4 linked regions of the Struthio camelus genome follow. The main gene of each other region encodes a partner of the protein of the gene in region 3 in a complex. Links are inferred from orthologs where the notes say so. Each region holds a gene or a part of one and is shown on either strand. Other genes may lie near its edges. The genes, in order: SPAG5, KNSTRN, PLK1 and MIS18A.

The links.
Region 1: PLK1 (region 3) and SPAG5 share a complex: the UniProt entries of both Homo sapiens proteins name them as parts of the astrin (SPAG5)-kinastrin (SKAP) complex. The link is inferred for Struthio camelus from reciprocal best matches to the Homo sapiens genes PLK1 and SPAG5.
Region 2: PLK1 (region 3) and KNSTRN share a complex: the UniProt entries of both Homo sapiens proteins name them as parts of the astrin (SPAG5)-kinastrin (SKAP) complex. The link is inferred for Struthio camelus from reciprocal best matches to the Homo sapiens genes PLK1 and KNSTRN.
Region 4: the proteins of PLK1 (region 3) and MIS18A are in contact, whole or in part, in a crystal structure (PDB 8S30), measured with the Homo sapiens proteins. The link is inferred for Struthio camelus from reciprocal best matches to the Homo sapiens genes PLK1 and MIS18A. Residues at the interface, in NP_005021.2 of Homo sapiens: Lys413, Trp414, Val415, Asp416, Asp419, Leu490, Leu491, Arg516, Asn533, Phe534, Phe535, His538, Lys540; in NP_061817.1 of Homo sapiens: Ser50, Met51, Trp52, Ser53, Ser54, Met55.

The regions. Positions count from the first base shown.
Region 1 is NC_090957.1:16,565,707-16,572,766, forward strand, and holds the start of SPAG5 (sperm-associated antigen 5), read right to left. Parts: upstream 3,017-7,060; 5' UTR 2,956-3,016; coding exon 2,932-2,955; intron 2,619-2,931; coding exon 2,520-2,618; intron 2,268-2,519; coding exon 715-2,267; intron 587-714; coding exon 394-586; intron 1-393. Other genes in the region: RSKR (ribosomal protein S6 kinase-related protein), read right to left, coding at 3,559-3,783, 3,873-3,983, 4,067-4,155, 4,229-4,318, 4,400-4,427, 4,514-4,554, 4,704-4,811, 5,572-5,641 and 4 more. UniProt on the Homo sapiens protein: Essential component of the mitotic spindle required for normal chromosome segregation and progression into anaphase. Required for chromosome alignment, normal timing of sister chromatid segregation, and maintenance of spindle pole architecture.
Region 2 is NC_090946.1:4,863,277-4,870,802, reverse strand, and holds the start of KNSTRN (small kinetochore-associated protein), read left to right. Parts: upstream 1-4,508; 5' UTR 4,509-4,572; coding exon 4,573-4,633; intron 4,634-4,809; coding exon 4,810-4,941; intron 4,942-6,109; coding exon 6,110-6,242; intron 6,243-6,394; coding exon 6,395-6,451; intron 6,452-6,681; coding exon 6,682-6,781; intron 6,782-7,526. Other genes in the region: DISP2 (protein dispatched homolog 2), read left to right, coding at 1-2,747. UniProt on the Homo sapiens protein: Essential component of the mitotic spindle required for faithful chromosome segregation and progression into anaphase.
Region 3 is NC_090956.1:1,058,339-1,065,252, reverse strand, and holds the start of PLK1 (serine/threonine-protein kinase PLK1), read left to right. Parts: upstream 1-3,911; coding exon 3,912-4,295; intron 4,296-4,503; coding exon 4,504-4,672; intron 4,673-4,785; coding exon 4,786-4,930; intron 4,931-5,358; coding exon 5,359-5,452; intron 5,453-6,010; coding exon 6,011-6,230; intron 6,231-6,542; coding exon 6,543-6,701; intron 6,702-6,914. Other genes in the region: DCTN5 (dynactin subunit 5), read left to right, coding at 663-683. UniProt on the Homo sapiens protein: Serine/threonine-protein kinase that performs several important functions throughout M phase of the cell cycle, including the regulation of centrosome maturation and spindle assembly, the removal of cohesins from chromosome arms, the inactivation of anaphase-promoting complex/cyclosome (APC/C) inhibitors, and the regulation of mitotic exit and cytokinesis.
Region 4 is NC_090942.1:119,787,338-119,794,746, reverse strand, and holds the start of MIS18A (protein Mis18-alpha), read left to right. Parts: upstream 1-4,403; 5' UTR 4,404-4,418; coding exon 4,419-4,653; intron 4,654-4,777; coding exon 4,778-4,844; intron 4,845-5,200; coding exon 5,201-5,323; intron 5,324-6,553; coding exon 6,554-6,647; intron 6,648-7,363; coding exon 7,364-7,409. UniProt on the Homo sapiens protein: Required for recruitment of CENPA to centromeres and normal chromosome segregation during mitosis.

The sequences.
Region 1 (7,060 bases), on a different chromosome or scaffold from region 3:
CCAGGGCTGCATCAACGCTGCCCGCTTTGCGGGGGCAATAGCATCTTCCCCAGGCCTGCTGCCCTGTTTCCCCCCCCCAGAACAGGCTCGTGTTCAGCAAAGTCATCGGGTTCAGCAGCGCGACCTGCGCGCAGCCAGGCGCGATAACTGGGAGAGGCAGCTGGAGCGGCGGTGGGCGCGTGACGCAGCGGGCCCCTGCCGCAGCAGCCCGGCACGCGCGTCCCTGCTCGCCCCGCTTTACTTCCGCTCCAGTTGCGCCCAGCGCGACCGCCCGCTGCACTCAGCTGCGGCCCCGCCAGCGCTGCGGGCGACACGCGGGCACCGCCGCGGCGCCGAGGCTCGCTCCCCGCTCGGGGCGCGCACGCTCGGCGTCACCCCGGCGCAGCCCCTTACCCCTTTGGGGTGGGTGACGTCCGTCTGCGTGAGCGCGTCCCTCTGCTCCGCCGGCCCCACGCCGGGAAGCGGCCGCTGGTTCTCCTGCCAGTCGCGCAGCTGCAGCGAGAGCGCCTCGATGATGATGAGGGTGCTCTCCAGCCGCCCCTCCAGCTCCGCTCGCGGCAGGGACTTCAGCTGCTCCCGGGGACAGCTAGGGAAGGAGAAACACCTGAGGGCCCGGCCCGGAGCAGGGGCACCCCGCGGGTGGGGTGGCCTGCCGATGGGGGGGGACCCTGGGACAGCGCATCCCTGCAGCTCCGTTGCTGCACAGGGACTTACTGCCAGAGCAGAGAGTCCGTTTCGGCAGCACTGTCCTTGGCACAAGCAGGCCCTTCTGCAGACGTGTTCGTGCTCCTCTCCAGCAGGTCCCGCGGAGTCATGAAGGTCCCGGTGGCCACGGCGGGCACAGGGGTGATGCTGGTACCGACGTCCTGCTGCAGCGTGGGCAGGGGCAGGCTGTGCCGCAGGGACTCCAGCAGAGACGAGGCGTTGAGGCTCTTCTCCAGCCACACCAGTGGCATCACCCAGGACACGGCACCTGGGGCCAGCTCAGGCGAGGGGACAGAGGTGGCCGCAGGCTCCGGCCCTGCAGGCTCCAACCCACCTGCCTTGGTGGGAGAGGGCCCAGGGGGGTCCTGCCCCGGCGGAGAGGTGGTCGGGGACGCAGATCCCCTGGAGGAGCCTTTGCAAGGTGGGGGACCAGCATCCCCGTCACTGTGCAGGGGCTCGGGTGCCGTGGGGCTGCAGGAGAGGTCAGTGGGCGTCGTGGGGCTGCAGGAGAGGTCGGCGGGCGCCACTCGCCACCCGTGGAAGGGGGCTTCCTGTGGGGTGGAGCTGGTGCCGGGGGGGCCCAGGGTGCAGGATGCTGGGGTGGTGCTGCCTGGGGAGCCCAGCGGGGTCCTGCCATGGGGCCTTGGGGTGCAGGACACTGTGGAGGGGCTGCCAGGGGGCTCTGAGGTGGCGTTACCAGGCAGCTCTGGGGTGCAGGGGCCTGCAGGGGTGCTCTCAGGGGGCTGCAGGGTGGCACTGCCAGGGGGCTCTGGGGTGCAGGACCCCGTGGGGGTGCTCTCAGGGGGCTCCAGGGTGGCACTGCCAGGGAGCTCTGGAGTGCAGGACCCCACAGGGATGCTCTCAGGGGGCTCCAGGGCCCTGGTGCTGCCAGGGGGCTCTGGGGTGCAGGACCCCACGGGGATGCTCTCAGGGGGCTCCAGGGCCCTGGTGCTGCCAGGGGGCTCTGGGGTGCAGGACCCCACGGGGATGCTCTCAGGGGGCTGCAGGGTGGCACTGCCAGAGGGCTCCAGGGTGGCACTACCAGGGGGCTCTGGGGTGCAGGGCCCCATGGGGATGCTCTCAGGGGGCTCCAGGGTGGCACTGCCAGGGGGCTCTAGGGTGCAGGACCCCGTGGGGGTGCTCTCAGGGGGCTCCAGGGTGGCACTGCCAGGGGGCTCTGGGGTGCAGGACCCCACGGGGGTGCTCTCAGGGGGCTCCAGGGTGGCACTGCCAGGGGGCTCTGGGGTGCAGGACCCCACGGGGGTGCTCTCAGGGGGCTCCAGGGTGGCACTGCCAGGGGGCTCTGGGGTGCAGGGCCCCACGGGGGTGCTCTCAGGGGGCTCCAGGGCCCTAGTGCTGCCGGGGGGCTGTGAGGTGCAGCACCCTGGGGCAGTGCTGCCAGCAGGCTCTGGGGTGGGGCTGCTGGGGGGCTCCAGGCTGCAGGGCCCCGGGGTGGGGCTGCCAGGGGGCTCCAGGGTGGCCCTGGTGCTGCTGGGGGGCTTTGGGGTGGCATTGCTGAGGGGCTCCGGGGTGCATGGCCCTGGGCTGGCACTGTCATGGTCCTGCAGGACACAGGGCAGGGGGATGTCAGCACTGCCCCTCCCCAGTTACCCCCCTCCAGCTGTTCCCCCAGTATCCCCAGTTCCCCACCCCAGTACCGCCAGCTGTCCCCTCCACCATCCCTAGCACCCCCCGCCATTGTCCCCTCCCCCAGGTCCCCCAGCACACCCTGCCACCCCCGGCTGTTACCCCCCCCGCAGCGCCCCCACCCCCAGCTGCCCCCCGTGTCGCCGGTCCCCCCCAGCACCGCGTACCTTGAGCCGCAGGCGGCGGAGCAGCGGCGTGAGGCAGGTGCGCTCGGCGCCCGGCTGCAGCCGCAGCTCCCGCAGCGGGGCGCGCCCGGGCCGCCGCGCCTGGGACACGGCCGTCACCGCGGGCACCGGGGCCGCCCGGGCCCCGGCCCCCGCGCACCCCCCCGCCCGCGGGGCCCTACGGGGCTGTACTGGGTCCGTGCACCGCGAGGCCTCACCGGCACCGCCGTCCCGGTACCGGGCTCCCCCACCCCCGCTCCCGGGGCCTCCCCTCCACCGCCGCACCGGCACCCCCCTCCCAGCCGGGGCCCACGCCGACCGCCACTCCGGGACGGGCCCTACCGGGGAGGACACCCCCCGACCGGGACCGGGACCCCCCCAACAGACCCCCGGCTCAGGACGCCGGGGCACTCACGGCGGGCGGCTGCGCAGCTCGCATGGCCCCGCTCGCTCGCTCCCTGCCTGCCGGTTCGGATCGGCTCGGTCTCGCCGCCGCCGCCGCCGCCGCTTCCCCGCGCGCCGCCGCCGGGCCCCGTTTGAAAACCACGCGCGGCTCCTATTGGCTGCGCCGCCCGCGCGTCACCGCGCCGGGGGCGGGGCCTAAGGCGGGGCCGCGGGGTAAGCCCCGCCCCGCGGCGCGTCGGGGCGGGGCGGAGGCGTTTGTACAGCGCCGAGCACCGGGCGGCCGACGGCGCGGCCGGGCCCCGCGGGCGGAGCGGCCGTGTCCTACCCGTGCGCGGCCCTCGCGACGCGCCTTCGCCCTCCCTCCGCTGCCCGCAGGGAGACGCCTGCTCCGGAGCATCCTGCTCTGGCCTCCCCTCCGGCGCGCCAGGCGACTCGACTCCGGGGCAGGGGGTGATGCCCGGCGGTCTCTGGTTTATTGCTCCCGCCGAGCGCGCGGAGAGGTACGGCGTTGGTGGGAAAGGGGGCACTGGCACGGCGGGGTCCGACCCGGTGCCGGAGGGGGGTTTTTCCCTGAGTGATGGCGAAGAGGGCCCAAGCGCCAGGCACGGCCTCCGGCTGGCAGGGCCCAAGCGCGGGCTCAGCCAGGCCAGGGCCGGCCCGCAGGGGCGGCGAGGTCGCAGTCGAAGTCGTCGAAGGTGACGGCGGCCTCGGGCAGGGGCTCCTCCACCGGCCGCGGGGCCACGGCCGCCTCCACGGGGTCCTTCTGCAGCAGCTCGGCGTCGAAGGCCATCCCCCGGAAGAAAGGGTGGCCCTGGAAGTGGTGGAGGTAGCGCAGGCGCCGCAGTGGGTTTCGGCACAGCAGCTGGGGACGGAGGACACTGAGCCACAGGGACCCCGGCGTCCGGGCCGGGGGGCCAGCGGGGACCCCGGCGTCCGGGCGGGCAGGGGTACCTCTGCGAGCAGCCGGGCCAGCGCCGAGCTGAGGGCACCCGGGCTCTCGTAGCTGCTGCAGTTGACGCGCTCCAGCATGGCCACGTGGTCCGGTGCTGGTGCCACCGGGAACTGGGGGGGGGGGGGGGGGCACGAGGCGGTTTGAGGGGCTCCCCGGGGCGCCCCGGTCCGCCACTGGCCCCCGTGGCACTCACCTTCCCGCTGGCCAGGGCGAAGAGCAGGACGCCCAGGGACCACCAGTCAGCGGTGTGGCCGTAGGGGCCCCCGCTCAGCACCTCGGGAGCTGCGGGGCCAAGGGCAGCGGGTGAGTGCCGGGGACGGCCGTGCCCCCCGCCGCCCCCCTGCCGTCCCCTTACCCATGTAGTGCAAAGTGCCGCAGATGGTGCGCGCCCGCTCGCCCCGCCGCAGGTGCCGCGAGAGCCCGAAGTCGGCGAGCTTGAGGTGCCCTGCGGGGCGACAGGGGCAGTGTCGCGGCGGGGGCCCCGGGGCGCAGGCCGTCCCCGCACCCGGCACTGCCGGTCTCTCACCTCGCTCGTCCAGCAGGATGTTCTCCATCTGCAACGAGACGGAGGCCGGGCTGAGCCCCCGCCGCCCCGCGCCCACCTGGAGCAGCCCCCGCGCCACCCACCGCTCTCACCCACCTTCACGTCTCTATGCACAATGCCGAGGTCATGGAGATAAACTGGGGGAGAAGACGGAGCCCGGTCAGCACGGTGGTTCCCCTCCTGCACCCGTCCCCACCGCCGGCGTGGGGCCACCCTGCAGCGAGCGCGCGCTCCCGGGCCACGGCTCACCCAGGAGGCAGGAGGCCCCCGGCCACAAGCCACTCACCCAGCACCAGCACCAGCTCAGCGGCGAAGAGGCGGACGGTGGCCTCGGCAAAGCGCCCGGCGGCCAGCCACCGTGCGTGCAGGTCTCCGGTGCTGCAGTAGGTGCACACTGCAGGGATGGGGCGGCCAGGCCTTACCACCGGGCTGCCCCGCGGCACCATGGCCACGTAGGCACCGGGAACGTGCAAGAACCGGGGCCATGTGGGCACCAAAGTGACAAAAGCACTAGGGCCACCTGGGCACCAGGGCCAGGGACTAAGGTGATGTGGCACCAGAGCCACACAAGTACTGGAACCACGTACCAAGGTGACATGGGCACCAGGGCCACCTGGGCACTGGGAATATGCAAGCACTGGGACCACACAAGTGCCACAGTGACAAAAGCACTGGGACCATGTGGGCATCAGGGCCATGCACTAAGGTGACATGGGCACCAGGGCCACCTGGGCACCGGGAACTTGCAAGCACTGGGGCCATGCGTACACCACAGTGACAAAAGCACTGGGACCGTGCAGGCACTGGGGCCACACGGGTACCGAGATCGCTCAAGCAACCGGGGCCACCTGAGCATCGGGGCCAGGTGGGCACTGGGGCTGGAGCAGCTGGCTCAGCCCTGCTGCCAGCCCTTGCCCGGCCCTGTCTCCCCCCTGCCCGCTGGGGGCTGTGGCCACGGTGCCTGCTGGAGGGGGACGGCGGGGGGAGAGGCAGCCGAGCGTCCCCTGCCCGCCGGGCGGGCAGCAGGGGAGGCGTGCGCGTGTGCAGGGCGACACGTGTGCGGGCAGCTCCAGACACGTGCGCCCGCACGCAGGGCCAGGCGGGGGGCGCGGGGGGGCCGCTCCAGCGAGCCCGCGGGGCAGATGGTCACTCACTAATGAAGAGGTGGCGCTGGCCCTGCCAGCTGTCCCCGAGGCAGTGAACAAACGGGTGCCTGACCTGTCTCTGGGGATGCAAAACAGAGAGGGTGAGTGGCCCCCAGGGTGGGGGCCCCGCTCCTGCTGCCCTCCCGGGGCACCCTGAGCCCCCTGGGCGCCCCGTGACCCCGTCCCCTGTCCCCCTGTTTCCCCGCTACCTGGATGCTCACTTCCTCCTTGCACTGCTTGAGGGTGTCGCGGCGCAGCACCTCCACCTTGGGCACGACCTGGGGGCGAGGGGCCGTCAGGGAGGTGCCTAGGGTGGGGGGGCCGCCCCCGGTCCTGCCGGCAGCACCCACCTTCACGGCGCAGACCTTCTCCCGCCCGCAGTCCAGCACTTTGAGGATGGTCCCGAAGGAGCCTTTGGCCACGAAGCCCAGGATCTAGGTGGGGAGCAGGGCCTGAGCACCCCGCAGAGCCCCCGCGAGAAGCCAGGAACGGGACCACCCCAGCACAGGGCTATGCAGGGGTGCGGGTGCCCTGCAGCAGGGACACCCATGCACGGCTGGGGCACGCGGGGGTTCTGCTAGAGGGCAGGGGCACCCTGATAGGGGGTGAGGGGCAGGGCACAGGGTACCCAGGAGGGTGCCCAGGCACGGGGTGAGGTGGGGGCACGCGAGACCCCCAGCATGGGCGCATGGTGCCCCACAGGCACATGGGGAACCTCGGCACGGGGCGCAGGGGGGGGCACGGGGATCCGGCAGGGTGCACAGGGATCGCGGTAGGATGCATGGGAACCCCCGCTTGGGACACACAGGATCCAATAGGACACTCAGGACCCTATTAAGGTGCACGGGGACCCTGGTAGGAGGCGCAAGGACCGACATGGGGTGCAAAGGGACCCGGTGGGATGGTGGGGACCCGCCACGGGGTGCAAGGGGGACACCGGTGGGATGCAGAGGGAGCCGCCACGGGGTGCAAGGGGGAACGCCGGTGGGACGCTCGGGGAGCCCGGTGGGACGCTCGGGGGCTCGGGACGGCACCTTGAGCTGCTGCTGGCGGGCGGAGGGGCGCACGGGGAACTCCGGCAGGAAGAGCGAGGCGAGCTGCGGCCCCCCGGGCACCGGCGGCTCCTCGGCGGCGCAGCGCGCGACCAGGGCTCGCCCCGACCCCGGCCCCGGCCCCGGCCCCGCGCGGCCCAGCAGCGCCCGCACCCACGGCGCCACGGCGCGGCCCTGCGGGACGGGACGGGGGCAGGGGCAGAGTCAGCGCGGGGGGCCGCGGTCGGCGGGGACCCCCGCGCCGGCCGGCACCCCCGGGGCCGCCGCCGCACGCACCTGGGGGGGCCGCGCCGGGGCCGGGGCCGGGCCGGGGCCGCTGCTCGCTGCTCCCATCGCGCCACCGGCCGGCCGGCACCGGGCCGGCCCCGTTAATCCGCCGCTTTACATAACCCCGCGCAGCACCGCCCCGCGCCGCCGCCCCCCCGGCCCCGGCGGCGCGCCCGAGC
Region 2 (7,526 bases), on a different chromosome or scaffold from region 3:
ACTTCCCTTTTGTAAACCTGACAGCAATTGTAATCCTCAGCAGCATCTGTGCCAATCATACCTTTGTCTTTTTTGACCTCTGGAACCTCAGCAAGAGCCAGAACCCTTCTGCTGGGCTTCCTCAGTGGGTGAGTCAAACCATGCACCATTTTGCATATCTAATGCTGGCATCTTGCTTCACAACAGGTGCTGCTTTCTATGCCAGCTACATTAGCAATATAATAGCCATCCGCTGCTTTGCTGTCTACATGGGCACCTCTGTACTGGTGAACCTGGTATTCATGATGACTTGGCTTCCTTCTTCTGCTGTCCTGTACGAGCGCTACATAGCAACAAACTGCATTTACAAGCCGGAAGACTACTGGAACAACACTGGCCATAAGAGAGTTATTGTCTCCCTCCATTACATTCTCAGGGGTCTCCAGAACACATTGTGTGAAACCTCCAAGCTGTTATTTGAGAAGCTTCTGCCTTGCGGGGTCATAAAGTTTCGGTACATCTGGATCTGCTGGTTTGCAGCCTTAGCAATAGGAGGTGCCTACATTTCCTGTTCCAACCCTAAGCTCAAACTGCCTACTCTTGAGACATCATCTGTTCAGGTGTTTAGATTGAGCCATCCTTTTGAGAGGTACGATTCCGAGTACTGTCACCAATTCATGTTTGAGAGGCTGGAGCACGGAGAAGGACAGCGTATGCCTGTCACAATAGTATGGGGCATTCTGCCTGTGGATAATGGGGATCATTTCAATCCAAAAAGCAATGGCACCCTAGTGACAGATATCACCTTTACAATCCAAAATCCCGATGCCCAGAAGTGGCTCCTCGAATTCTGCCAGAAAGTGAAGAACAAAACGTTCTATTACCCCGATGCTGAGCAGAAATCTACCGTGTGCTTCATGGAGGAGTTTCTCAGGTGGATGGACAGTCGCCAATGCTCCCAACGAGACCACAGCTTCAACCTCTGTTGTAACCAGTTCTCTTTCCCGTACGGAAGCGACGTTTTCCTACACTGCATCAAAATGATGCTCCTGGAACAAGGTAGGGAAGGGGCTGAAACATATGATCTGGGTCTCAGGTTTGACGGAGAGGGAAATCTTGCTGCCTTAGTGCTACAGTTTCAAACTATTTATCACTACAGCTTCAATTACAGCAAAGCCAAACATTTCTACGAGGAAATCAACCTCTGGATAACAGAGGAAATGAAAACTGCCCCCGTGGGGCTTCAAAACGGATGGTTTACCAGTAAACTAGAGCTATACAATCTTCAGCACAGTCTTAGCACAGAAACGATGGTGGTCATGGGGCTCTCCATAGCCATTTCCTTTGTAGTGCTGCTGCTCACCACTTGGAACGTTCTCCTTAGCGTTTTCTCCGTTACTGCTATTGCAGGCACCGTCCTGGTAACTGTTGGCCTTTTGGTCCTCTTGGAATGGCAGCTCAATGCAGTGGAATCTCTCTTCATTTCAGCTGCAGTAGGTCTCTCCGTTGACTTTACCGTGAACTACTGCATCTCCTACCATTTGTGCCCCCATTCTGATCGCCTAAGCCGAGTGGCCTTTTCCCTGAAGCAGATGAGCTGTGCCACAGCCATGGCAGCTTCTGCTCTGTTCTCTGCAGGGGTCATCATGTTGCCGGCTACCGTCCTGGCGTATAGGAAGCTGGGGATATTCATAATGATGATCAAGTGTATCAGCTGTGGGTTTGCCAGCTTCTTCTTCCAGTCACTGTGCTGCTTCTTTGGCCCAGAGAAGAACTGCGGGCAGATCCTTTGGCCTTGTGCCCACACCATGAAAGACTATTCTGATGACTCTGGGCTGAATGGAAGCTTTGCCTGTGGGGGAAGTGAGAAGCAAAACAGACTGCGTAAGGTCCAGGAGTCCAACACTGCAAATGAGCAATATGAGCTCCAGCCCTTGTCCAGAAAACTCAGTGACAGTTTTGACAACAGCACTTCCACAAGCAAGTTGTCCAATCGGCCATCAGTACTGTCTGAAGACACACAACTGGAAGACAACAGATGCCCCAGAACAGGAATGCACCCTTCTCTTGAAAGAGAAAGACAGAATCTGCAGGAGACTCTTGGAGACCAGCAGGTTGGTCTGTGTCAGTGCCCTGCCTTACAGACGTCTTCTCCATACAAGCACAGCAGCTCAGGAGCAGAAATTCAAAGGGAGAGGCTCTGTAGAGATTGTCAATGTCAAAAGTACGGTCCAAAAGCTTGGGACGAGTCTGTGCTGGACCACATCCAACTGGCTGGTGTGAAAGATGACGGGCAGCTCAATAAATCACAGTGCTCTAGTGACACTGCCCAGCAGCAGTCAGATTATACCTCAGACAACAGTCATCTTCCTGCTGCTGACATCTACAAAATTCACAGATGCCTTTGTTCTCTTGGCAGCTCTTTTGACATGCTCAACATCTCCAGTGAGACGTCAATTAGTGATTTTGAGCAAGGCCTAAAACTTGCTGAATCAGCCAGTTCTTGTCCAGATGTTTTAGAGCTGTCAGATTCATACAGTCAAACAGAAAGAGGTTACTTGAACGGGAAGAGAGATACCCTGCGGCTGGACCTGAGGGAGACTGTGTTTGATATCTCGCCAGTAGCATCACAGCAAAACAGCTCCTCATGGAAAAATCGATTTGGATTAGGGAGTGAAGATCCAGTTGTGTTACCAAACAGCCAACCAGATATGCCTGATGTTTGGATCAAACGATCTAGTGCACAAAATGCTGGTTACAGCAGTTGAAATTTTGCAGGAAATAAACCGTACTGCTTGGGAAAGGAGAAAGGCAAAATCTCCTCTGAACTGTAAATATCACATCTTTCCTCCCATTTCTCCTAGAGCTGAGACTATTTCTTAGCCGTGCAAACACCTGTGTTTTCACAGAACCAGCAAATCCAATACTAGTGAGGGGATCAATCTTAACGCAGTACAAGCTCTTTGACCTTCCAGTGTCCTGTTCCACATACTCAGCTGTACTGCAGAGCTTATCAAGTAAACATTCTCTGTCATTTCCTACAGGGTGATTAGATTTTGTTTTCTTGTCAGACCCATACAGGAGAGAAATACTGAGAGATGAGTCTCTCCAGATATTTAAAGACAGAGAAGTCATATTTAAAACATATAAATAAATAAATATATATATATATATATAAAATCTAGATATCAAGTGAAGAGAGTTGTTAACAAAAAGAAAGGCTTTCATTTTTTTCTACTGATTCCGAAACTGTTTTATGTGAAGTCTAGGTTCACAGATCTCTACAAAACACTTTAGATATTTCAAACAATCTCATCAAGACTTTTCACTTGATATGGTCTTTTACTGATCACGGAGGCTATAAAAATAAAACCCAGCCCAAATGTATTTTCAGTAACAATTTCAGTTTGTTTTACCAGAAGAAATTCCTTCTGGTACAGCCAAAGATTTTCAACGTGAGATTTTCCCTTTGAGAAAACAGTGTCCTTGTCCTGGGCGCTTTGTGTTTTGTCTTCATAGCTTGTTTCCAGTCAAGGTATTCTAGATAAACATGTAACTTTTTAAAATTTGCATATCTGACAACTCTTGAATTTTACATTTTTTTCTCTACCAGAAACAAACAGAAAAACAAACACTTCCTGGCCTTTATCTGTTGAAAGAAGAAAAACATTCTCTCTACAGGTTAACGTAAAATAAATGCGTATGACAAACTTTCCTAAATCTGCGTGATGCTTCATTTTCACCAATACCGTGGCTCATTTTCTTCATCTCTTACGAGTCTCATGTCTTTTGCAATATAATCAGCAAAAGGAAGACATGCACCTGAAGAGATTCATTCTTCTGACACCCACAGTCGTTTTGCCTGCTCTGTGGGAAAGGGATGGCGATTGCCAAAGGTAGATTAGGCATCTGCACTTTTACAGCTAGTAACCCAACCTGAAACATGTAACTGATTTCAATTTCGCTGAGGGGGTTTGCATTTTCGCGGAGCAGCTCTCACGCTGGGTGCTCAGCTCGGTATTTCGGCAAGCGGACCCGCACTCAAGCCGCGAAGCCAACACCAAGCCAATTGCTCTCCGCACAACAGCCTCCCCTTATTATTTGGAAGGATTTGCCACCCCTTTTGAAAGTTATGCTTGGAAAAAAACAATGAGAGCACGGAAGCAAGCAAGCAAACGGATTTTATAGAGGAGCCTCCTTCTCCCTTTCGGTGTGGGCCAAGGGGAGGGCGACTTTAACGACCCAAAGCGCTGAGGGGGTGGCCCCAGCTCCCCCCAGGGCACGGCCCGCAGGGCCCCCGCTGCCCCGAGTTCCCAAGCGGCGGGGCTCAGGCGGCGGGGAGGGCACCCCTGAAACCCTCCCCGTCAGAGCCGCCGCAGCGAGATGGAGCCCGGCCCCGCCAGAGCCGCCCCGCCGCCAGCGCCGCCGCCACGTCCCCTCCCCTGAGGCGAGAGCAGGCAGACAGCACGCGCGCAGCCCCACCCCCAACACAACGGCCCCCTGCCCGCCTCCCCGGCTTCCGCACTGCGCCTGCGCGCGGCGCCAGCACCACCGCCTCCGCGGGCGGGGCGAGCGCGCGGGCGGCGCCTGCGCATGTGCCGCGCCCGGGAGCCGTTAGGCGCCGGCTTGAATTCAAACGGGCGGCGCGAGCGCGGTAGGTGCCTTTGCGTTCTTGTGCTTCTCTCCCGTCTCCCCTCTTCTTCCCGCCCTGCGGTGGCGAGGGGGCGCTGGGCAAGGCGGGGCGGGGGGAGGGATGGGGAAATGGGCCTTGACGCCCGAGCGGTGCCGTACGATGCCTCTGGGTGAGGGTGTTTGTGCCGGGGCTTGCAGGCGAGCAGCCGTTGGAGAGGCGTCACCGGGCGGCGGCCGCTGAGGGGAGGGCCGGCGCGGCGCGGCGCAGGATGGAGAGCGAGCCCTCCCGCATCCCCGTGTACGGCGCGCTCCACCGTGGCGGCCCCGCAGGTGCGTCCCGGCCTGGCTCCGCCAGGCAAGCAGGGAGGGCGTGGCCCGCCTTGCCTTGCCCTGCCCCGAGGTCCCGGGCCCTCGGTGCTGGGTGTCTGCCTTAGGCCAGCGCAGAGGGCGGCGGGAGTGGAGGCAGCTTTTAAGGAGCTCCGATACTGCCTTGGTCTGTGGTGGCTGTTGTGGAAATCTTATTAAGAGTTTTTTGTTGTTTTTTCCTAACCTAGGCTACCTTCTGATAGAAATTATACACCTGCATCATCTCTGCTTAAGATTTTGCAGTTAAAATTTCTTGGCTAAACCTGTGTTTTTGAGGAGGGTGGGCTGTTACTATCAGAATCACAGCTGAGCCTTTTGAGATGACTGCTGGTCTGGTGCTGATGTTAGGCCTGCCGAGGGTGTATCTCCTGCTTATCTGGATGCAGTGGCTTTGTGAGGTTAAAAATACTTTTCTTCAGAGGCTCTTACTTCTGTAGGTCTTCAGATACTACTTGCAGCATTTTACCTGTTATAAGTATGAGGCACCTAGACTTAAAATTTAGAACATGAGAGCCAGTGTGTAGGAATAGAACCCCCCCTGCCCTGTGTAACTCTAGTATGAATTGGATATAGATATGCCATTTGAGAAAGGCTTAGCTCACAAAACAAGCTCTGAAAAGCCACTCTGTAAGCAAAGCTTTATTTACTCTATGCATGTATGTATGTGCTTTATGGCCAAATAAACTTTACATAAATAGCTAGTTCTCTTTAGAGTTATTTCAAAAGTATATCTATTGGAAATTAAAATACAAAGCTCTCTTACACTGAGAATTTCATGTGGGCTGTATATATTTGCTTTCAGTGCTGCACAGCTTTGCTTGGAACACTGTGGCTTGCTGTTTGCCTAATGTTGAGACCTCCTTTACTATCATGCCTGCATTATTGTTTTCAAGCTTTATCCTATTAGTGCTAGCCTAGTAATTATATTTTAACACTGTCTGCCATGAGCTATCTGTGGCTTGTTTTGAACCATGAGTAGAATTTAGTTGTTAGTTAGTTGTTGCTTTCTCAGTTCTAACCCTGTAAGATGTTTTTTTTTGTCAAACTGAAAGCTTAGTAGCTCCAGTAGTTTGGCACATTACAGTGATCTCTTGCAGACAGTGGTATTTTCATTGCTGTCTTTCTCTTGCAGAAATGCAAATGGTGTTTCCACCAAAGAAACAATGTGTCAGCAAAACAGCTGATCTACAATTTAGCAAGGATCCCAATTTTAACTTTAGCTCAAATATGCCGGGAGATGGTGTCTTCAAAGCTACAAACCAAGGGTAAGTGAAAGTGAAATAGTGATGGATTTGTTACTTGATAAATATCCTGAAAGTGGCTTAGCATTTTGCAGTTCTTCTCAAACCAGCAGACTTGGTAATCTGTAAATATGCAGTGTCTTTCTGTGGTAATAGTATTCTTCTTGTTTTTTAAGGCTTCCTAAATCTGCCAAGAAAATGGAACCACTTTCAAAAAAGACAGCTGCAAGAGGGTATGTTTTCTCAAATAGCTACTAGTTGCTCTAATGCAACAATGTTCCATCTCAAAGAGTTATGATGAGTTCTCCCCCACATACAGCTTCTTTTGGCAAGTGTACTGATGAAAGCTCTCTTGGTCATGAACGAGAGCAAATACTCAAAGGACGACACTTGGTGAAAATAAAAGAAGGGGTATGTAACGCTGATATTTTTGCACCTAAGTCTTTGATGTTTGACTCTACAGACCTCTAAGCAGATACAAATTAGAGACAGAGCTGAAGACCAAGAATCAGCTGTTAGAAACAGCTAAACAACAACTGCACTCCCGACTAGCAGGAGCACAGGTAAGGAGAAAAACATTAATTGAGCAATTCTTATATTCTGCCCTCTATAGGGTCAGACCAAATGCTTGCTTGTTATTCTGTCTCCATCAGAAGCTAGTAGAGTGTAAGAGTAGGCTGGATCTTTTCTTCTTTGACAGGTCCTAGCAGGATATCATTGGTCTATCAGCAGAAATGCAGATGTATTTGGCTAGATAATGCCAAATTATCCAGATTGTTGTTAAATAGTCATCAGTGCTCCAATTCCATCTTAAACTCATTGCAGGAGAACATTTCAAGTTCACAATTATATGCTTGCATAAAACAGCCTCAGTGTTGACAGATGCTCCCTTGTTACATTGTGAGAAACTGTAAACAATCTCTTAGTAATTACCACTCAAGACTTGGTCTGTTAATTCTTTCTTTCATCCTGACCTCCTAACATACTTCATCTCTCCTCATACAGCAGATAAGCTATTCAATTTTTTTAGATCATCCTTATTCCCTTTGCCAAATCTCTGCTAGTTCTGTTACCCCATCACAAGAAGCGTGGTGTGGGAACTGCATACAGTATTGAAGATGGGGGTTTTTCAGGAGTGTATATACCTGCATTTTAGTAGTTAAGAACTTGGATTTAGGTCACTGCTGGGCACTAAGAATTTGAGGGACACTGACATTATTCTTAGTATTACTAACTCAGTTAATTTGGTGTATGTAAGCTTATGCTTCTTCCGTGTGCTATTGTGCCATATTGTTAACTAGATAATGT
Region 3 (6,914 bases):
TACCTGGGTGAAAAGTATGAAGCTGTAAGCGCTGCTGACACTTGTACTACAGGCAGCTTCCTAATTGACTTCAATTGCTAATATGACTAGCTCCTCCTGTCAAAAATCTTGACTGACCCTTGTAGAAGCCATTTGCTGTAAGGAGCAGTAGGAGGCTGCCTCAGTCACCACGCCTCACAGGCTTGGAGATTCTTGCAAGATTGTATGCATGTCAGATGTTTAGGCGTTTATACTGCCACTCATTCGTACTACTTTGCACTGTTAACTTGCTATCAGCTGTCTCTTGAAGTGTGTGAAGTAGCACTGTATTTGGTCAGGAAGGGCCTATATGTGCTGTGTTGCCATGGTGTCACTTCAAAGTTTTAACACTACATAGTACATTTCACTGGGATCGCTTGATTAACGACCACAGTTGGGCAGCATGAAGCTAGGCTGCTGGAGGAGGGGTGGAGGGAGGGCTGCTGAGTTAAGGGATATGCGTTTGAGAGAGGAAATGGGACTGCATCTGGAAAGGTCTCAGGAATGATGTACTTCCATCATCACTTGAACAGCACAGCTGTAGTGCAGTGAGGGATATGTAACTGTATAGCCACTTACACGTTTCTCAGCCTTGTCTTCCTTCTAGCAGGCTGATTAAAACCTGTTTTATTGTCTCTGTTAAGGTGGCCTCTGCCAGGGTCTAAAAACAAGTCACCACTGAAGATCTCAAATACTCAGCAATGTTAACATTCCTTAGATTTGGTCACTTTACCCTCCTGTCCTCTGAAGCATCACTCTGACCTGGGCTCATCTCTACACCTCTGCCAGCTCTCTGGAATGATGGAGTATCAGTAGGTTGCAGCATGCTTCTACAGCCCCTGGGAATTGTAGTTTTCTGATGTCAACATTCAGTTTAGTGAAGTGCAATGAAACGTGACTTCCAAGAGAGGGCTTTGCTGCACAGCCAAAGAGGAGCTGTAGGTGCGTGGGGAAGCATGATGCTCAAAGGGATGGGGAGGGCAATGTGAATGCCTTCTTTCAAGAATCTTTTGGCAAAAAGCAATCACTTCAAACAGTAAACCACTATGTTGCTTCATCAGTCCTGTATACTCCCCTTTGCTCTGACCAAGACTGGAGGGACATGCTATTTGTGTTGGTCACTCTTATGTGGGGCATTTAAAGTCCTCAGGAATGTAAAACTGGGGCTTCAGAACGCTTCTCTTTTACTCTGTGTCCACCGTCATCTGCTGGTGGTTGTAATACCTGCCTGCTACTAGAATCAGGGGTAACTGTACTCACTGTAACTGGCTGAGTGAGACCAGCCAGTGCAGCAAACACAATCTGTTTGGAATTTGGCTGGAACGTGCTCTGAGCCCACTCACCCTCCCCATTGCTGCACAGCATTGCTCCCACAGCCAAACTTCTGCCAACCTGCGGGACCACAAAACACCCGAGAGCCAGACCTTCCCACTGCATACTTACACTTACATGATGCTTTGAGTCAGTGCTCGGGGGGGAGATCCAGCTGCTCCTTTGTGTCCTCATCCTGGCTTCAGCGTATGACCATGCATGCCTGGAGGGAGAGAGCAGGCTCATGGCCTAAGGTGCTACAGCTGACCTGTTCTTGTGCCGTTCTTGGTTATTGTTCATTGGTGTTTTGTTCTGAGCCAGCAGGCAGCAAAATCAGATTAAGGGGTGAGTACATACACTAAAGTTATTTTTCTTAACAGATGGTGTTCTTAGATTACAGGAACAAGCTCTCCAGGCCCTAGTGCACATGTGGTCCATTGCTGCTATTTTCTTTCCTAAATAGTATCCCATGTGGTGACTGGGACGAGGAAGGTGAAAAAGTCATTAACAAGGTCAGGCACAATTTCACTCAGCTGTCAGAATCTCACCCCCACGGGACAGAGAGGGAAGGGAGAGGTGCCACAAGAGAAACTGAAAATGACAGCAGGAATATGTGAGACCACAGAATAAAAAATCAGCAGGATGACCAGGTTCTTGGAGAAATGCGGCCATATATGAACAAGCAATGTCTTGGCTTGGAGGAGTCTCAAAAATGTGCACGGAACGGAGCTGTCTAATTGCCATTTCTCTTTCACAGAAAAAACTAAGTACAAACTGTAACATGAATTTCCCTTCCAAAAAAATGCTTAAACTAAGTCTGCTAGAAGGACTTGACTGAAAAGCTGCTTACAGCCCACAGGACGGGGGGAAAAGGATTCAAACTAACGTCACCTTTGGCTGTTTCTCGTAAAAGTAACCCCCTCCAAATGCACTTAACAAAATACACTTGCATTCCTTACTGGGAGGACAGTTCTGCAACTGGTATCGTCTGTGTATTTGTGTCTATAATTTCTGTTTGACTTCCCAAATCCACAAATGATGGTATTGATTCAAACAACTATAGACGTGCATAACACTGCCTTGAGGAATTCTGAGTATTTCAATATTGTCCAATGCTGCCCCAGTCTTTGTGAGCTGGTTCTCAATTATATGTCATCCCCTTAGAACCTGCATGCTTGTACTTGTCCCCCTGTGCTTTCTTGAGCCCTTCTTGTACACACAAATAATAAACAGGTAAAAAAGAACTCTGCTGAAGGGTTGACTGCAGTGTCCTATCAATGCTATATCGGTGCTGTGCTGCCAGGAGGGTTTTGTGTGAGTTCAGGCTAATGAGAGCTTTTATCACACAGAAAAGCAATCAACATCTGAGTGGCAGTATTAAGCACTGTAAAAAAGTAAATGAAGTTTCCACGCTGTTGTGGGAGACGTTTAGACAACGGAAAGCTTCCATCTATAACTCAAAGATGGTTTCAGCCTCTGCTAAGGTGGATGGCAAACTGCCCTGTCTGGTTGACCTCAACAAGTCTGTTAGAGAGCTCTGCCAACAACTTGCCCTCTTTTCCCAGTTTTTCAGCTCAAAATGGGAGGTACCTCCACTCCCAGGGCGGACGGGGAGGCTGCGGCGCAGGCACCACGTCCCCTGCTCCGGTCTCGGCGCTGGTCCAGCGTCACGGCTGCCTGCCGGCCCTCGGCGTCCTGTGGGGAAGGGTGTCCGTGTGCCGGGGGGACGCGGGCCCTTGGGGAGCGCCTGATGTGACAACGCTGAACACACCAGGCGTCCGGAGCCCAGCGGCCTCCCCTGCCAGCACCGCTGGGGGCCAGCTCCGGAGCAGGGTCCCCGAGCAAACGGGAAGACAGCCGCCTCTCCCGCTCCATATTTCGGTGCTCCTCGCGCTGCTGCCCACGCGGTGACTGCGGTCTCGAGGGCGGCGGACGCTGCTGGGGCTGAATGCAGCGGTGCCGGGCTGCCCGTGGGGCCACCAACCCGGCGCTCCCCATCCCCGAGGTGGGGGAAGCCCCACCACCCCACAGCCCCACGTTGGCGTGTCGCCCCAGGGGGCCGAGCACATGCACCTTTGCGTCCTCGAAGGACGCCAGAAACCACGTGAGCTGCTCCAGACGGGGCAGGCGAGCCGAGTCCCACTAGGCGGCTCCCCCCAGCCGGCCCGGCCCAGGCTGCGCCGCGGTCACGCGTGGGACAGCGCCGCGCTGCGCCCCGCCCGGCCGCCAGGCGGCGCCCGCGCCCCCCGGGCCGCGCCGTGCCTGTCTCTTTAAACGCGGCGGGCGGGGGCGCGCTCCCATGGTGCGTCGCGGCGGGCGCTTGGATTTTAAATCCTCTCGACCAATGGGGAGCGCCCTGGCGCGCGTAACGCTCCGGCTCCGCGTTTGAAATTGTTACAGTGTTGCCGCGGCGGCCACAGCGCTCTGCGCCCGCCCGCACCGCACCGCAGGCTCTGCGCCCGCCCGCACCGACCCTCGCCGCAGCGGCTCCGCGCCCGCCCGCCCGCACCGGGGTTACCGCGCCGGCTCCGCGCCCCTCCGCTGCCCCTCGGCCCCGACCCCGGTCGCGCCCTCGCGGTCCGATGAGCGCGGCGGGCGGCAAGGCGGCGCGGCCGCCGGGGGCGGCGGAGCCGGGGCGGGCGGGCGGCGCGGCGGCGGCGGCGGGCGGCAAGGAGGTGCCGAAGGTGCTGGTGGACCCGCGGACCCGGCGCAGCTACGTGCGCGGGCGGTTCCTGGGCAAGGGCGGCTTCGCGCGCTGCTACGAGCTGGCCGAGGCCGAGAGCCGCGAGGTGTTCGCCGGCAAGGTGGTGCCCAAGTCGCTGCTGGTGAAGCCGCACCAGAAGGAGAAGATGTCCATGGAGATCGCCATCCACCGCAGCCTGGCGCACCGCCACGTCGTCGGCTTCCAGGGCTTCTTCGAGGACGCCGACTTCGTCTACGTGGTGCTGGAGCTCTGCCGCCGCCGGGTGAGGGGCTGGGAGGGCTCCGGGCCGGGCAGGGGGGTCTGAGGGGGGATCGTGCCCTGGGGCCGAGCAGGGGGGTCCGGGGGCTCTGGGGAATCGGGGCAGGGGGAGTCTGGGGGGGATCGTGTCCTGGAGCCAGGTGGAGGGGAGCTCTGGGGGGGCCGGGGAATCAGGGCAGCCCGGGGGCCGGCACACTGACGGCCTCCCGCAGTCGCTGCTGGAGCTGCACAAGCGGCGGAAGGCGCTGAGCGAGCCCGAGGTGCGCTACTACCTGCGCCAGACCATCCTGGGCTGCCAGTACCTCCACAGCCACCGCGTCATCCACCGCGACCTCAAGCTGGGCAACCTCTTCCTCAGCGATGAGATGGAGGTGAAGATTGGTAGGTGCCTGTGACGCAAGTGTCCCCTGCCACAGCAGGGACCCCGACCTCAGGGGGTCCCTGACAGTGTGGGGGCCTCTGGCTTATGTGCTCATCTTCCTCATGTCTCAAAGGTGACTTTGGCCTGGCCACCAAAGTGGAGTATGATGGAGAGCGCAAGAAGACCCTGTGTGGGACCCCCAACTACATTGCCCCAGAGGTGCTGGGCAAGAAGGGGCACAGCTTTGAGGTGGACATCTGGTCCATTGGCTGCATCATGTGAGTCAAAGCACCCCCCATGACTGGGCTGTCCTGTGCTCCAGGTCTCCTGGCGGTTTTGGTATAAGCTGAAGCTTTGGGCATGCTGTCTCCAGAGCACCCACCCTGGCTGAGCACTGCTGTTAGACCTGCTCGGCTAATATGCTCACATGGGGGCTGTCTTGAGGTATTTTTCCCAAAAGCCCTTATTCCTAACCAGAACTTTCTCCAGGGGTACAAAATCCCAACTCCCCCCCTCTGGGAGAAGGAGCTAGAAATAATACTTCTGCCTGCTGTACCAGCTCTTCCTGGCAGAGGGAACAAGGAAGTCATTGGGAAGTCACAGGAGGCACTTCAGGATGGGGCTGCTTCTGGACCAGGGGTGTTGTAGTCCCCCTGCAGGCTGCCTCATACAAAACTGACACACTTCTATGTCCTTAAACACACAGGTATACCCTGCTGGTAGGGAAACCACCTTTTGAAACCTCTTGTCTAAAGGAAACTTATATCCGAATTAAGAAGAATGAATATACCATCCCCAAGGTATGGCACTTCCTGTGGGTGGACTCAACCTTGCAGCAGGTTTTGGTTGCCTTCTGCAGCATTCTGCTTCTGACACTTAATGAGCTCTTGCAGAATGGTGAAACAGCTCTCCTTGCTGAGTGCTATGAAGGGGATATTTCAGTCTGTGGTAGAACAGACCTGTGGGGTCAGCTTCCTACTGAGGAGCCAGCAGCTCCTCCTTGACATATCAAAAATCTGAGCTGGGCAGCTGGCACATGGAGGAAAAGGCCATGGGGTAAACTAACTTGCTCAAGTCCAGCCACAGATGAGGTCTGGACCAGGTCCCCCTGCTCTATTCCACTGTTGGTTCAGTCTTGCTAGTCAGTTGACTTAAAGCTCTGAACTCTGCCAGGAGATTGTACAGGTGCTGGTGAGCTGTTCTGTTTCCCCAGGCTGGCGTCCTGTGTGCCTGCTGCAGCACAGGAGCTCTGCTTTGAGAAGAGCTGTCCCCATGTTGCACACCCTGTGCACGTTGCTCCTTTTGCACACTTTTCCTTGACTTTTCTTGTTTCTAACTCTGCCTCTGTTTTCTCCTAGCACATCAACCCTGTAGCTGCTAACCTCATCCAGAAGATGCTGAGGTCTGACCCTGCCACACGCCCAACTATCGATGAGTTGCTGAATGATGAATTTTTCACATCAGGATACATCCCTAACCGCTTGCCCACCAGTTGTCTCACCGTCGCACCTAGGTTTTCAATTGCTCCCAGTGGGCTTGAACTGAATGGGCGAAAGCCATTGACTGCACTCAACAAAGGTGAGCGCAAGCACCTGGGAGCCGAGGGCTGTGCGCTGCAGTGCTGGTTGAAAGCCTACCTGGCCTCTGGCAATATCCAGACCTTTGGTGGGGAATGTGATACTGCCTCACATCTTCATGACTCTCATGAAAAGCTGGAGTACACTGTGAATGGGAGGTCTCCTCCCTGCTTTGAGTCTGGGCTGTGTCAGCACTAGCTTTAGCTATATGGTGTGTAACATGTTTCTTACAGCTAGGGTTGAATGTAAAGCTGGTGCCTTTAGAAACCTACTTCCTGGTAATGCCTCCACACTCTTCTCTTTCTTGGCCCAGGACCAGACAGCCCTGCACTAGAGAGCTTGCCTGAAAAAGATGATGTAGCTGGGCTGCGGGAGCTGGGAGATGCTGTTGACTGTCACTTAGTGGACATGTTACAGCAGTTGACTGCAGTCAACTCAGCCAAGCCATCTGAGAGAGTGGCTGTGAGACAAGGTGAGCCTGGGGACAAACCCACAAGCACTGGCCTTCCTAGGTAACTTGCTTTTTTGTCATTCTACTGCTGTTCAAAGTGAGGGGCCAACTGATCTCCTTGGCTTCAAACTGGAAGGCAGAGAAGTGATGCAGTAGCTACTTGCCTGCCTTTTGGCCTTACTTGCTTACTGCCATGTGCAGGATGCCTTAAAACGTCTTCTAATAAACTGTTCT
Region 4 (7,409 bases), on a different chromosome or scaffold from region 3:
GCACCAGTGCTCTGTTCCCTCACAGAGCGAACTTCCCATGGTTCAGTTTGTGCCCGTTGCCTCTCGTCCTGTCGCTGGGCACCACGGAGAAGAGTCTGGCCCCATCCTCTTGACACTCCCCCTTCAGACACTTGTACACGTTGATGAGGTCACCTCTCAGTCTTCTCTTCTCCAGGCTGAAGAGGCCCAGCTCTCTCAGCCTTTCCTCAGAGGAGAGACGCTCCAGTCCCCTAAATATTTTTGTAGCCCTCCGCTGGACTCTCTCCAGTAGCGCCATGTCTCTCTTGTACTGGGGAGCCCAGAACTGGACACAGTACTCCAGGTGAGGCCTCACCAGGGCTGAGTAGAGGCAGAGGATCACCTCCCTCCACCTGCTGGCAGCACTCTTCCTCATGCACCCCAGGATACCATTGGCTTTCTTGGCCACAGGGGCACATGGCTGGCTCATGCTTAACTTGTTGTCCGCCAGGGCTCCCAGGTGCTTCTCCACAGAGCTGCTCTCCAGCAGGTCAGCCCCCAATCAGTCCTGGTGCCTGGGGTTATTCCTCCCCAGGTGCAGGACCCTGCACTTGCCTTTGTTGAATTTCAGGAGGTTCCTCTCCGCCCACCTCTCCCAGCCTGCCCAGGTCCCTCTGAATGGCAGCACAGCCTTCTGGTGTGTCAGCCACTCCTCCCAGTTTAGTATCATCAGCAAACCTGCTGAGGAGGCCCTCTGTCCCTTCATCCAGGTCACTGATGAATACACTGAACAAGACTGGACCCAGGACTGACCCCTAGCTACAGGCCTCCAACTAGACTCTGCACCACTGACCACAACCCTCTGAGCTCTGCCACCCAGCCAGTTCTCAGTCCACCTCACTGTCCACTCATCCAGCTCTCACTTCCTGAGCTTGCCTACGAGGATGTGATGCGAGACAGTGTCAAAAGCCTTGCTGAAGTCCAGGGAGACAACATCCACTGCTCTCCCCTCATCTACCCAGCCAGTCATCCCATCGCAGAAGGCTATACGGTTGGTCAAGCATGATTTCCCTTTGGTGAATCCATGCTGACTACTCCTGATCACCTTCTTGTCCTTCATGTGCTTGGAAATGGTCTCCCGGATGAGCTGCTCCATCACCTTTCCAGGGATGGAGGTGAGGCTGACTGGCCTTTAGCTCCTTGGCTCCTCCTTCTTGTCCTTTTTGAAGGCTGGAGTGACATTGGCTTTCTTCCAGTCCTCAGTCACCTCTCCTGATTGCCATGACCTTTCAAAGATGATGGAGAGTGGCCTAGCAATGACATCCGCTAGCTCCCTCAGCACTCAGGGGTGCATCCCATCGGGGCCCATGGATTTGTGGATGTCAAGCTTGCCTAAATGATCTCTAACCTGATCCTCCTCAACCAAGGAGAGTCTTCCCTTCTCCAGACTTCTCTCTTGTCCCCAGGGTCTGGAATTCCTGAGGAATGGCCTCAGCAGTAAAGACTGAAGCAAAGGCGGCATTCAATAACTCTGCCTTCTCTATATCCTTTGTTATCAGGGCACCCGCCCCATTCAGCAGCGGGCCCACATTTTCCCTAGTCTTCCTTTTGCTATTGATGTATTTGAAGAACCCCTTCTTGTTGTCCTTGACACCCCTTGCCAGATGTGTCCCTTGCCACATATCCTTTCAGTGGAAACAGAGCTTTTCCACAGGCAACGTGAAATAAGTGTTTCCGCTGACGATACAGCAAGGTCAAAGACACCAAGCTACCAGCACAGGCACCTAAGCTAGATGCCCCAAGTGGATGGTATGAACGGTCGTTCCTGTACTGTCCGGTTCAGTCTTCACTGTCAACAAGGCAGTTTCTGGCACTGTTAATTACAAAGACATGACAATGTTCTGGCAGAGTATCCTGTACTCCTTACAGACTAGATCACTGTAATGACCTTGTTCAAAGCTATTTTGGTCCGTGAAACCACACCTGGGTAATCAGAGTCTTTGGTAAACTACATAGCAACCAGCAATGTCCATAGCTGTTTGATGGATACCATAGATAGAGACTTGGCAGAAATGGGAGGGAGATACTGCCTATAGCCTGAGTGACTCAGATATGCCTGCCCGCTCTCCCTAGATCATTGTAACTCTGTCCAATTATATTGGGTTACATTAATCCCTCATGACATGAATTGTCATTTTATCTTATCAAAATCAAACCAATGCAATTACAAGAGGAAAGAAATCGACCTTCCCTGTTAAGTAACCAAAAAAGACATCACTATGTCCTTGTGTAAAACCAAGCATGCAACAGAATTAACAGTCCGATACTTTGTTAATATGACTGGATTCGGTGAATGTTATTTCATATCCATTGAAAATAAACTTTTAAAACCCGCAGAGTCTGTTTCCATGATCATAATGTATGTGGACAATAATGTGTATTATTACATTGTCTTACAGTTCAGGAGTACTAAATCATAGCTTTTCTCATACATTATTTTTGGTTTAGTACAAAAATCAATAGGATTGCTTAGAGATGGATGCCAAATAAAAGCTCAAAGGGAAAAAAGTAATAGAATATGTTTTCAGTTTGCTGTTCCTGGCTGGTGAAAGCATAAACTTATTCTCTTATCAAGGCTCTAACGGTGTTTAAATCAGTTCTAGCATAAGCTTTATGTTCCAAGAGGAAAACACTATAGTCTTATGAACAAATCTGTTCATTCCGTCATCTTTTCTGATGGTAGCATGCAGATAAAGAACACCCCAAAATACTGATTTGCATGTCATTAGATCTCTACTTAGCAAATGGTCAAAAAAAAAAAAATCCGTCCTCTAAATCAGAGTTAATGTCAGCAGTCTTACAGTTTGAAATACCGTAAAATAAATCAAATAGCTTCAGTATAAGTAGAAATTGCTATCAGTACGTAAGTTAAGATAGTTTGGAACACAGACACTCATCCATTCAAACCACGTACAAATAAGCTAGCATGGTATCTATTACAAGGAAAAAAGTAAGTCAGAGAGACTATGCAATATTTTGCCAACTCATTTTTCCTGTAGTAGATCAGCATCTACCACTCTACAATACTTACATTTATTAACCTTCAACTTCCTTCCATCTACTGGAATTGGATCTATATAATCCCAATAATATTCATAAGACCAAAAATACTCCGATGAGTTTGTTCTGTTAGCCATTTCAGTAGTGCATTTTAAATCAGCTCAGAACTCCAACCAAATACTTTGCTTCATTGTACTTCAGCGCCCTCAGAAAGAGATTGCATAACTGATGCCTATGTAAATCACTCTGGAGTCCTGCAGCTCAAGGACTGCCTTGATAATAAAAAACATTTAGCAGAAAGGAACATTAATGTAGGACAGATATGTAACAGCAGCCTTTAAATACAATCCTCTCTTCCTGGCGGGCAATTATGTTATTCCTCAGAATATTTTAACTGAGATGGATATAAAGTAAACTAAGAATGGCATGGACACAGGCCAACTGCGTTCCAACCATGGGAGAAACTAGCAACAAGGAAACATATTCTGGACCCACTGAAAATAGCTGAGCTGAAAGAAATTTCTGAATTTCCGCTGACCTAAAAAGCAGGTAAGAACTGGTAAAATACTTCTGATATAAAGAATGTATTGAAATAACCATATATTTTGCTTTGGCACTTTTTTATTCCCCTCCCCCACCCAAAAGCAATGGATGGAGAAATAGTCTCCCAGTCAAGACAAAGGTAGTCGAACTGCCCTGTGCATTCGGCCCACGGCACTGTCAGTGTCTACGCAAACACACACGTATACTTGCTTCATCAAAGTTAGCAAAATTTCTCACTTTAAAAGAGAAACAGATCCTCAGTGAACTTTTACCTGCATTCCTAAAAGCTACAGGGTAAGTCAGGGCTAGGCAAGTCAGGGCTGCTCACCCAGGCCCAGTCCCTGGATTGGCGGGCGGCACGGAGGCACATCGGGCCTCTCGGCACCCCTCTACAGTGGGGAGCACACTGGGGCATCACTTGAACCGCGAGCAACAAAATGCGGCAGACTGGACAAAACCAGCGGCCTTCCAAACCCGCAGCAAGCCTTTTTGCTTCGCCTCCCCGTCACTAGAGCATTCAGGCCCCTCCCAACGTGCCTCTCGACGTATCTTGAGGCCGAGGACAGCAGGCCTGGCTAGCTGAGGGCAGCAGCAACGGCGACGACCGCCCGCCAGCCGCCCGCCGCGACCGTTAGCGGCGCCAACGGCCGCAACAGGGCGGCGGTGGGGGTGGGGGCTGCCTGAGCGCGCCCAGGGGGAGAGGGCGGGGCCGCGCATGCGGGGCGCCGTGTGGGCGGGGTTCACGCGCGGGCGGGGCGGGAGCCGGGGAGGGTGGGGGGCGGGGGCGGGGGCGGGGCGGCCGCCTCGGCTCTTGGGGCGGCGTCACTGCCGCTTCCGGCGCGGGCCGCTTGAAGGCGATGGCGGGCGCGCTGTACGCGCCGCCGGGCGCCGCGGCGGGGCCCGACTCCTCCCTGTCGCTGCTGGAGGCGGACGGCGCGCGGGAGGCGGCGGCCGAGGCGGGGCCGGGCGGCCGCGGGGCGGACGAGGACCTGCTGCCCATGGTGTTCCTGTGCGCCGGCTGCAAGCGGCCGGTGGGCGACACGCTGAGCTGGGTGACCAACGACGAGGAGGCGGGCTGCATCCTGCTGCGCAGTGAGTCCTGCCCTGCCCCCTCCCTCCCCCCCCCCCCCCCCCCCCGCCGCGCGCGCGAGGCGGCGGCCGTTGGGGGCGGCCGTTGGTGACCGCTGGTCCCTCTTCCCTCCCCACCTGCGCGCAGATGCGTCTGCCAGCGTCTCGGTGGACAAGGAGCAGAAGCTCTCCAAGCGGCCCGGCGAGTGCGGATGGTGAGGCCCGGTGTCGCGGCGGGGGTGGGCGGCTCGGGGCGGGGGAAGGTGCCGAGGAGGGGCCCGGTGAGCGGCTCGTCGGGTGCTGCCACCCCGCCGTCCCTGAGGAAGGCCGGGGGGCCTTGGCCTAGAGCAGCTCCTCCAGGTGGCCTGTCTAAAGTTTACCTCTTAGTCTTGCTGAGGTCATCGGGCTGAGGGTCTGCTTTGGGAACCTTGGCTGGAAGATAAATGTTCGTAGTTACAGTGTGGCATTTGAGAGTGAATCCTCTGAAGATCACAAGCAGGTGAATTGTTTTTGAATAGGTGTGGGGAAAGCCCCCTCCCCTTTGAATAAATGCTGTATGTTTTCCTTACAGCATGGTTGAAACTTTGTCCTGCTCTGGCTGCTCAATGATACTTGGCAATGTCTACAGGTGCACACCAAAGCATCTTGACTACAAGAGAGACTTGTTCTGCTTCAGTGTTGACTCCATTGAAAGGTAAAGGTAGCATTTTTAGGGATGCCTCTAGGTATCATTTATATGGATTGCTGCTGTTAGTTTTACTGGAATATCTAGAGGTAGTTATCTCTTTCCAGGGTAATTTTTTGTGTTACTGCTGCCAGCATTGTACTGTTGAAGTCATAGAAATGTCATCTGTGTAATACTAGAAAAAAACATTAGAAAAATAGAAATACCAGGGTCTTCTCTTGTATAAGAAACTGCATACCAAGCACAGAAGTAACACTAGGTAAGCAATATGGGCGTTACTTCTAGTCTGATCAAAAGAGTATGTAGATGCTCTACTCCAGCTGGCATAAAACTACCTTATTCTCTCAAATAGTACTGAATAGGCCTAACTTAAAGCTACTAGAAGTAAGTATTATCAGAAGAAAAGATAGGCACAGGGCCTGAAGTAGAATTTAACCTGTCTAGGTGTGAAAAAAGGTGAAAGTGAATCCTGACACTCATTGTGTAATTGAGGTTCTTAGTATCTGTTCTGCAGTTCTCTTACGGTGCACAAACTTTTTTATACTCGATTGTCTAGAAACTGAAGATGTGCCGTTGTATTGGTTTTATTTGGTTTATTGCACTTGAAGCAGGTCTTAATTCAGGATGAAGTTAGTGAATACTTTAAGTCTACGTACCGGGGTGCTTCTATTGCTCTTACTTTGTTAATGTTTGGATAATTCACCTTTATTTCTCCCTGGGACTAAGTTTAGCATTTCTGCTTTTTATTAAGTTCCAGTGTATTTTGTTGCATCTGTATTGATGTTCTCTTCCCTCTTTCAGGCAATGGTGGGTTTTTGCTTTGCCTCTTCCATGGCAGTAAAGCTCTCTGAAAGATTGTACCATGGTCCCAAAATGTCTTTTTGGGGCGTGGGAGGGTAGGCAATAATGGTGATGACTGGTTGTTCCGGCTAGTACAACAGTCTCCTCAATGTTGGAATAACTCTTCACCTTACGCTGTAGCATCAGAACTCATGATTGTCTTTTGGAGTTCCAACTGTTATACAGTGATGGTATCTTAGTAGTTCTGAGCTTAAAATTGCTTTAATTCCATTTTATAGTTTGTTTGCAAGATTCTAAGTATGGATTTTGTTGCTGAATCATGCTCTTGCTTTGGTAACTTATTAATCATAGTCTTGTAATCACTGAGAACAATGAATGAGTTATGTTTGTTTTTGCATTCAGAGCAGAAAGTGCATGATCTAAACTGTAGCATATCAGTTACGTTCTAGGATCCTCGGAAAAGCAAGCTCTTACTGATGAGGAGCCTGTAACTCTTGAGAGTCGAGCTGTTTTGGAAGAAGCACTAGAAAGGGTAAGGTTTAATCTTACATCGCTTGTTGTGTACCTCAGATGAATCTTCATATCCTTAGTTTCTACAAAACAAGCTATAGTCTCAATTGGACCCAATTCTGTGCATTTTTACTGTACTCTGTGACACTCATGCTGTTAGTATTTTGTGTTAGGTAAGACTTTGATTATAATTTTAAGAAGCATTTCTATTTGTCAAATACAGCTATAGATTCCTATCTCTGTCAGAAGTCTGAACCATTGCTTGCCTCTTGTAGCTTTGTTTTGCTTCTCCAGTTTTTTTTTTAAAGACTGATTTAATCAAATTTTTTCTGTAGAATCCTATCCTTCATGTAAACGGATTCACTGCTTTTGCTGCTGTTCTGTATTGAAGTATTGCATAATAAATATGAGTGGATACTTTCCTCTAGAAGTCTCCTGACTGTGGATAGGGAGAGCTGAGAGCACATACGATAACCAGATTAGCCCTGAAAGCTGCCATTTGTATAGCAGAAGCTGAATGTGTGGAATTCTTGCTTCAAAGTGAGAGGACAGCTATAGCAGACTCTAGAGAGTGCTGAGAGGTCATATTAGAATTGACTGAACTTTTAGACTGTGCAGATAGTGGGAAAAGAATCCAATAGGATTGATAACACATGATTGACTTCTAGCATACATGTCAGAAAGTGCTTGCTCTTTGTTTTGTGAAGTACCAAGTATCTTTCCTTATTTACTTTATAGGCAGACACCATACTAAAGGCACTGGAGGCGAGGCTGACTGTAGTTG